Linked DNA regions of Arabidopsis thaliana. The protein of the gene in region 2 interacts with the protein of the main gene of each other region in a pairwise test. Each region holds a gene or a part of one and is shown on either strand. Other genes may lie near its edges.

Region 1 (4,126 bases), on a different chromosome or scaffold from region 2:
CATGACATACCCAAATGATGGTTTGATCATTGTCTTCAGTCGCAGGTTCTATCATTTTCGTCTGATTCGTGGCTCTCATCTGTTCTTTGTGATTGTCTTGCATTTGCAGAGGAACGAAGTTATCATATGGCTTGAAGATTTCAGTCTGGATTAGCTAGAGCTTGGCCAAATGTTACCATAAGACGTATGTAGAGGTTCCATCTACTTTATAATTTTAAGATTGCGACGACAGAAAAGCTGTATAGACACAAACCTACAGGCTACAACATTAAGCTTGCTCATTATTTGTGGACAAGCATTTATCTATGAGACATATTTGCTCTCCTCTTGATGTTAAAAAAATGGATGATGGAAGTTACAAACAGAGTCACTCTTTCTTGTTCACAGAAAATACCTATCCTCCATTACAAAACTGAAAAGGTCGATTGCATATTATCTCATCTTGATGTTACAAAAACACCCAAAGTCATTCTTCTTGAGTCAGCTTTAAGAATTGTGTTTCAGTCACTTCCCCATTTCCGGACAACGCTCTCTTTAGCAGTGGAACCTTCCTTCTTCCACATCTCCTCTGAGTTGTCACCACTCACTTTGGAAGCTTCTCTTCCCATGAGTTTGGAGCTTAGAGAAGACAAACCTTCCCGTGTTCCTCGCAACGCATACAACAACGGGTTTAACACAAATGCAGCCATGACTTCACCTTTCGCAACCACCATATACTGCAGCAACCATTAAACAATTCAAAACCATCAACAACAAAAAGTCTTATTCATGAAAGACCAAATACATTTACTTAAAGCATACCACGGCAAGTATTGCTAAGAGGGTAAAGGCAATCTGTTGTGCCTCTTTCCAGAAATGGTCGCCACTAAACCAACCACCACCTCCAAACCAACCTCCTCCTCCTCCACCTTTACCACCATTTCCGCCACCGGATTCTTCTCTTTTCTTGATCTCTTTGTCCCACTTCTCAAACTCATTCTTCTTCCCACCAAGAGCGCTTTCCAATGATTTACGAGCTTGCTCCTGCACAATCAAGGAAATCGAACGGCAGAGTATTAGCCACCAAATCATGAAGCTACCTCTTATCTGTCTCTCTTTAGTTTTGTCGCTCTGTCATAAAACTTTTCATTCAGAGAGATAGAAAGTGTGGGTTTTTGTACTTCCTGGAATGAAGTTATTGCTAACCAACTGCTATTCTCATACGAATTCACCAAACCAGAGAGAGTTGATTAAAGAGGAACTTGAAACTCTCAGCCAAATGGCCAATCAACACAAACTTATGAAACTCCTACTCTCGAATCTAACTCACAGCGGATCTAATCTGCTACACCCAGTCCTAGACTAGATACAGTAGACATATAGCTAAGAGTTGAGCTGCTAAACTTGTTCAGAACCTTATCAGTAACAAGCATAATTAATTGAGTAAGACCATTCAAAAAGAGTCAGACAATTCGACCCCATGTTATGTACGCTCTGATTGGGTTCAGCAGATTCTACAAGATTTGTCCTTTCGAAGAATCAAGGGAAGTAAGTAAGAAAACTAACCTCTCTCTGGTTGCCGCCGGAGAAAAGACAAGAGAATCGTCCCTTGCTTTTGGTGATTGAGGTTCGAAGAGAGAAGACAGAGTTAGGGTCAAGAGTCCGGTGGCAACAACGGAGGTGGAGAAGTGGCGAGGAAGACGAAGGGTTTATCAATAGCCTCGTTACGTGTCCCATCGCTCTCTCTTCCTCTCCCTTATCCCACCACAATAATGCTTTCACCAAATTTCTCCTACATTTTGTAGTCTGTTGTATTGGTAGCATTTGCTTTTGTTTTTTGGATTTTAATGACAAAAATAAAAAACTTTAAATAAAATGAAGGTTAGCATGACTAATTTGTTTTCTGATCCATAGAATTTTTTACTCTTACCCTTTGCATTCTTTAGATTCCTGTCTCTTAGTAAAATTGTGGCTTTGTAGGCTTGTTGTAGTCTTATAGCTTATGAGCCTTCTCTACTACAAATGTTTTACCCTACAGATTGAATTCGTCGAAAACTAGAGTTTGAAGGAGACTGAATGAGAATATTTTTCACTTCACTGAACTCAGAAACGAAACAAGACATGAACCAATCTCAGAGACCAAAAACAGTAAAGAGAAAAAAAGATCCCTATTGATCAATGAGTTCATCTATCTATATACCACAAACCAACAAATTCCCCCTTCACTTTCAGATTTATTGACTTCTGAATAACAAAAGGGTTTCAACGTTCCCAATAACACTATCTCCATTCTCTACAGATCAATCTATGCGGAGTTCGTCGTTTTGAGGCCTGAATTTGATGATCATGAGATGTGGGAACACAACAAGGCATGCCATGAACAATGTGAACTGCATATCATCAAAAAAAAAAAAAAACCAATATATTCATAACCAGATGAGATTGTCTACAAGGACGAGTTTATTATGGACTGAGATCATACCAGAAGGGGGAGAGTCAAGAAGCCCCATATAGGCCACAGAGCAAAGGAGAGCCTGCATTTTGCAAATTTTGTCACACATAACTATTATGAGACTCGCGTAGTTCCTGATTGACTAGAAAATGTGATTTACTTACAGGCCAAATGAAATGATGCCGAGTAGGGTGATGAAAGGCAGAGCAGAGATACTCCACAGTTCCCATTTCTCATCAAACCTTCTCATGCTCCAAGATAACATGCTTTCGTAGATTATGATTATAATGTTCACAGCTATTCCCAACATCCCGAAATACAAAGGCATCCTGGAAACAAGGCCAATGAATGCATTATGTTTATTTTGGTTTTCAGCAAGAACCATCATCCCAAACAATGTTGAAATCTCAGTAAACTACACCAAACCATGACAAGAGAAGCTACATTTTCCCACACCATTTTTGACAATAAACCATCATAACCAAGAATATTGACTTCAAACCTCTAGGGCCATCTTCAAGTTTAAAGTGAGCCACATATGTTTTCTTTTTAGCCATATATAACACAAGCAATAATCCAAAAAAGAGCAAAGTGAAAAGAGCCCATCAAGAAATATGTTACCTTTTGATCCGAGCATCACGTAAGAGAATATGTATCATATTAGAGTGCCTGTCTCCAAAATAGACAATGAAGACAGCAGATGCAATCCAAAGCACATTCTCCAAAATCTCAACCCAGGTTTTACTTCTAGGATTCTCTAAAGAAAAAGGCTGTGGCCTAGAGCAAGCATCATCCTCAAGATCATCACCACCAGAAGCATAACCTTGGCTATGTCTTTGCCTAATGTACCCACCACCACCAACTGGAGTTCCACCAGACATGTTCCTAGAAGCTAAAAGAACCCTCTAGTACACAATAATCCCACCTCCTTAGCAACACAAAACCCTAATAGACGTCTCTATATAAAAGTCGAATTGGTCAATTCAGGCAAGTAAAAGATACCAAACTTTGAAATTCGTCTCATTACAAGCGATCCCCCAAAGTCTATGATGATTGCGCCGCCAACGAGACTGCAACGAAAAATTGACAAATGGATTCAATTCGAAAGATCGATCGTATCAAGAGATCGAGAACGGAGAATTGAGAAACCCTGAGCTGAGAAAGAAGAATTCACTAGCAGATACGGAAAATTCGATCAGAAGAAGAAATCAATAACCTCAAAAATTGAGAGCTCGTCGCGAAGGAACGCTTGGTGAAAACCCTAAGAATCGGAATCACAAATTCTCTAAGAAACTTCGTCCCAAAAAGGAAGCTTTTTTAGGTTCCTTGGAGACTGAAGCGTTTTGAGAGAGTCTGGCAACTGAACCGTTTTCAAAGCAGATTTTAACGAAACGACGTCGTTTTGCTTTCTTTCTTCTATGATAAAAAGTTAAAAACAGATAAACATCACTAGTAGTCCCATTAAATTGCGATCTTTATTTTTCTGTTACGGTTTAGGTAACACTTTTGTAGCAAGAATCACATGAAATTTGTCGTTTTTAGTCTCTCCACAACTTGAAAGGATAATTAGGTTTTTAGCTTTATCAAACTTTTTCAAGTTAAGTGAATCAAATATCTTTGAGTCAAGTTTATAATGGAACAAAAAAAATCATGATCTTAAGTTATGCGATAAAGGAGAGTTATGGTTGTTTGAAA
Region 2 (5,335 bases):
TGACCATAAGAACCGGGAAAGTAGAATTAAGTTACCCGCATACTAGCTTCCATATTTCCAGCTTTTATCTTTGCTGTCTCCATGAGCGGCATAAGCTACTTGAGACCTCCACAACTGATAGATGTTGAGTGTCTAGAAATAGTTCCTGAACCTAGTAATACTAGCCCACCATATGATTCCAGTGGGTCAAAGAATCTGATAATAACTAGAGTTTATACCTTTCAACGCTAAAGATAAATCTGAGACTGGTATTCAAATCTGCTCTTATACTGCTCCAGGTAAAGGAAGCTGTCACTTCTCATCATCATCAGGAACAGTCAGGTATGTGTTTCTTTTTCCACAAATCAACTTCTTAACCTGTCAAAAAAGTGAGAAAAATAATTGTGATTAATATCTGCCAATTGCAGCACAAGCCCCCCAAGTCAAATGAGTCCACCAGATTTTAGTTCCCCACCATCATCTACATACCCACCGCCAATAACAACTCCAACTACAGGCATAACTGGCTCTGGACCACCCTTCGGCGTAGCAGAGCCAACAGGGCTTCCGAATTCAGCAACCTCTGTATCACATAGCCTTCTCTCAATATTTACAGCAGTTGGGATACTAATGCCACTGCTCAGGGAAAATTATCTTTAAACAGACAATAGTTTCAGGGTTTCAATCATTCTCTGCAAATTATGAAGCGCGTTTTCCATAACTATGATGCGATCTATGGAGCTCAAGAAAGCAGCTGTGATTTGCAAGAAGATTTTAATCCATGACCTAATTCTCACCATCTGTTCTATTGCTATAGTTTATCACTGAAAGTATATTTATTTAGTAGGAGATACTACAAAATCAAAGGGCTTAGGATATATACATTCTTGTAGACACATTAAGCATAATGTATCTCTTTACAGTTTTAGAAAATAAAATACTTAGGGAACGGTTAAGAAATACAAAAGCAATGTCAGACATTATTAACTATTAGAAAGATATAACAGAAAATAAAATGAAAGCTACTTGAAGCAGATACATACCTGCAGCACTCTAAAACAAGTAGGCACACCGAAAATGACAGACAAGCTCCATGATACCTGCAGCATTTCCAAACAGTTTCTAAAAGGATGACAATATCTTTAATATGCTCTTTTCAGCTCATAATCTTATAAGCTGAAATTTTTGATCTGGTTCCTTGTGGAATCATATGCGGCTAAAGATCAATCTGTTAGCAACGAATAGTAGCAAATACAAGCATCTCATAAAGAGCGGATAAATGCAAGCACGTTGAATTGAGTATTGAAATCGAGTAAATAATACAGCACATTATTTCTAGTCTCTGTATACACTTTGTTACAGTGATTTACAGATGAGTCCTTTTGTCAGGAGCATATTTATATCAAGAAAAGGAACGATACAACTGTGACACCAATTATGGCTACAGTGGCAAGAACTGAATTCTGATCAAATGCTTTCTGCAAGGTGCCTGCTCTTGAGAAATGCTGGAAAGCCAGAAAACAAGAGATTGCTAAAGAAAGGATAGCACCTTCCTGTTTCCCTCTGCAAGCGTATAAATTCAATGAGTCTTGACTAAAGAAAATAAAACCTTGATCTGAAACATTACACTCTTTTTGAGAATCTAACCTTATGCTCATAACTTGATATGGCGCCACAATCACCAAAAGCAAAGCAATGAAGGGCAGCTCAAGTTCAACTATAAACAAGGCATTGTATAAGAATTAAAAACATACAAAGGCAGGCACACTCTTATTTAACATGAAGATCTGATAAAACATGCGTGATTCCTTTCAGCATGTCTTAGTAATGGAAATTTTAGCCCCTGACGTCGAAAATTAGCATGAGTTTCATTCCAATTTCTTTTCTAGTAAATGGCAACTGAACTAAAAAAAATCCAACACTAGAATTCAACAACCTATAACCCAACCTACTTGAAGACGAATACGAACCTGGAAAAGAGAAGAACAGTCGAGTAAGAAGCGCCAAGAATGCTGCCCAGATGCCATATTCACCCCTGCAAGTTAGATGCAAAAGTGTGATGAATTCAAGACGCAGAGTATGAAAATTTCTGTCATCCAGAATAGCAAAAAAAGGAATAAAATCCACAAGCATAGGTAAATGAGCATTAAAAAAAGCTTACTTCATCCAGGAGACAATGCCCATTGGTGCTTGTAGTGCGAATAGTGGAACAACAAAGGACTTATGGATACCAGTACCCCTTGCAAACATCAATGCACTAGAAAAGAAACAACATTCAGTATAGAAATGAACTTATATGCTGCTGACATTATGAATCAGTGGAAATTATACAATTATCTATCACAAATCACTTTCACACATGAATTGAAGCTAAACTATTTCCCTGTACAATCATTTGCTATTATCCGATTAAGCTAAACTTGTAAGAAACTTCATACATTAGCATATCTTCAGCAGCATTCTGCGTTAAAATTCACAGCTAATGAGAGTGAGAGATCATACACGCAAGAAATTGTCGAGATCCATTGTAGATTATGAACAGACAACATTGGAGTAGCATAACAGACCACACTCGATCCTCTCTTTCGCCGCTTCTCAGCCCTCGCCGACACCGTAGCGGTTCGCTGACGATCAGCCGATAACCTACCAACCAACATTCATTTAGAAAAAGCCAAAATCCACTGATTGAGAATTTATGAATCGGGTGTTTCTGTGTCACTATACCTTAACGGATTGAAGCAAACAACACTAGTACTGTGACCTAGACCGGAGATATTTGAAGGACGAGGCCGGAGTTTAAGAGCGAGAAAGGGTTTCTGGTGGTGAAGAGAAACGATCCGGGACGATGAGAGACAGAGACTCGCCATGAATTGTTAAGATTAGTTACGGTGGTGGAAAGATCACTCCGTCATCTTTCCGTTAAAATTGAATCATTTGCATCAATATCATGATCGCTACGTGGACGGTGTAGATTTAGCGGGAATGCTTTTAAAGTGGGGCCCATAAATACGTGTTTGGAAAACGACAGTCGTTTAGTTCACAATCAATCAAAGAATCTTGAATCTCCACCGTTGTTGGCATCAATACGACTGCAAATCTAACCACGTAGGATTCCACGTCAGCTTTTAAATATCCCAATCCCATGTCGACCAAAGATTTTAAATGTGTATTGTTTTTACGTTTGTACATGAAAGATCATTTTTATTGCCAGCGAATAGTTGCCAAAAATGTACCAGCATTTCTTAAAGAGCGGATAAATGCAAGCACATCTTTCTTTTTTTTCCTTCACACACATTCTTACACTGATTAACATTTTTGGTCAGGAGCATATAGTTATAGCAACAAAAGGAGCGATACAACTGTGACACCAATAATGGCTACAGTGGCAAGAACTGAACCCTTCTCATATGCTTTCTCCAAGCTCCCTGCTCGTGAGAAATGTTGGAAAGCCAGAAAACCAGATATTGCTATTGCTATGATTGCCCCTTCTTGCTTCCCTCTGCAAGTTTATAATGAAGTCAATGAGTCTCGGCGACTAAAGAAAAGAAAACCTTGATATATATTAAAACATTACATTCTTTAAGATTCTAACCTTATGTTCATGACTTGATATGGCGCCACAATCACCAAGAGTAATGCGATGAATGGAAGCTCAAGTTCACCTATTAATGTATAACTTTAATTAATTAATAACTTGTAATCAACCTACATATTGAAGATGATTACGAACCTGGAAAAGTGAAGAAAAGTCGAGCAATAAGCGCCAAGAATGCTGCCCATACACCATACTCTCCCCTACAAAAATAAAGATACACAAGTTTAAGTTTAATGACTTCAATAGGCTGCTCAAGCATGCAAAAAGAAGAAGAGAGACCCATATATATCACCATGTTAATGAATATATCTCCATGTTAAAAGCTTACTTAATCCAGGCGACGATGCTCGATGGTGCGTGGAGAGCGAATAGTGGAACAACAACTGACTTATGTATACCAGTACCCCTTGCAAGCATCAATGCACTAGAAATGAAACACCATTCAGTATAGCAATTAACTTATGTTATTGACGTTATGATGAAAACAGAGGAAATTACACAATCATCATTAGCATAATTTCACCAGCATTATGTGTTAAGAAAATCACAGTAAATGAGAGAGATCATACAGGCAAGAAATGGTGGAGATCCATTGTAGACTATTGGCAGAAATCGGAGCAGCATAACAGACCACACTCGATCCTCTCTTTCGCCGCTTCTCCACCCTCGTTGATACCGTAGCGGTTCGCTGACGATCACCCGATAACCTAGAAACATTACAAACAAAAAGAGTTACACAAAATGCATGACTCGAAAGAATCCCAAATCCATTGTTTTCACTATACGGTACCTAAGCGGATTGAAGCAAACAGGACTCGTGTGGCGACCTAGACCGGAGAGATCTGAAGGACGAGACCGGAGTTTAAGAGAGAGGAATGGTTTCTGGTGGTGAAGAGAAACGATCCGGGACGATGAGAGACAGAGACTCGCCATGAAATTGTTTAGATTTAGTCACAGTGGTGGAAAGATTGACGGAGTGATCTTTCTGTTAAACGACTATATCACTGCATGAATATATGATCGTTACGTGGACGTGTTGATTTCGTGCTTTAGAGTGGAGCCGAGTTACACGTGATTGGAAAACGAGAGTCGCTCACTATCAATCAAAGAATCTTTGAATCTCCACCGTTGGAATCAACTCCAATTCAAATCCACCCCACTTAGGATACCACGTCAGCTTTACCATATCTAATTCATTGGAACATGACAAAATTTCATGTCGATCATAGATAATTTCACTAGTTTTTTTATTTATATATATTGCAAGTCTTATCATAAAATAATTGTAAAGCTTAACGCAAAATTTCATTGGTACCGACATAACTAATTTCAGTTTCAGATGTATATCTTCATCTTTTCAAATGTTGTGCCTCTGTTTTTTTTTTTTTTTTGCAAGACAGACTTCTGTCCAAAAAATAAGACAAAAAAGACTTGAGAGACAATTCTTTTTTTCTTACTGTACAAATTGCCAAAAGCTTTAACAAGAGTTGTGAGAGTTACAACATAATACCCACATAAAACCGAGTATTCATGGTTTTTTTTTTTACATATACTCCATGGAACCAAAAAACATGAAGAAAGAAAAAAAAAAAAAAAAAACAGAGTAAATACTCGCACAGCTTCTGCATGCAGCATTTAAAACCTGCAATTCGAAAACACACTTCCGCAGGGTCCTGCATGCATCAGTTAACTCTGCCTTTCACCAATATGTACGGTTAAAAATTAGTACTTAGAAAGAAAAAAAACAGCCATTATCACAAC

What was found. The genes of interacting proteins can lie anywhere in the genome.
Region 1: the proteins of COR314-TM2 (region 2) and AT5G20130 interact in a protein complementation assay, tested with the Arabidopsis thaliana proteins (one large-scale study listed by BioGRID).

What each region holds. Positions count from the first base shown.
Region 1 is NC_003076.8:6,795,075-6,799,200, reverse strand, and holds AT5G20130 (sulfate adenylyltransferase subunit), read right to left. Parts: upstream 1,841-4,126; 5' UTR 1,804-1,840; coding exon 1,546-1,803; intron 1,024-1,545; coding exon 802-1,023; intron 717-801; coding exon 501-716; downstream 1-500. Other genes in the region: HBP5 (SOUL heme-binding family protein), read left to right, coding at 40-135; AT5G20120 (testis- and ovary-specific PAZ domain protein), read right to left, coding at 2,280-2,369, 2,462-2,513, 2,596-2,760, 3,053-3,312.
Region 2 is NC_003070.9:10,285,033-10,290,367, forward strand, and holds COR314-TM2 (cold regulated 314 thylakoid membrane 2), read right to left. Parts: upstream 2,873-5,335; 5' UTR 2,847-2,872; coding exon 2,704-2,846; exon of another isoform or gene 2,637-2,703; coding exon of another isoform or gene 2,623-2,636; coding exon 2,482-2,622; intron 2,237-2,481; coding exon 2,141-2,236; intron 2,015-2,140; coding exon 1,950-2,014; intron 1,697-1,949; coding exon 1,627-1,696; intron 1,543-1,626; coding exon 1,377-1,542; 3' UTR 1,035-1,376; downstream 1-1,034. Other genes in the region: AT1G29380 (Carbohydrate-binding X8 domain superfamily protein), read left to right, coding at 279-321, 408-639; COR413IM1 (COLD REGULATED 314 INNER MEMBRANE 1), read right to left, coding at 3,313-3,478, 3,572-3,641, 3,710-3,774, 3,903-3,998, 4,144-4,281, 4,365-4,507.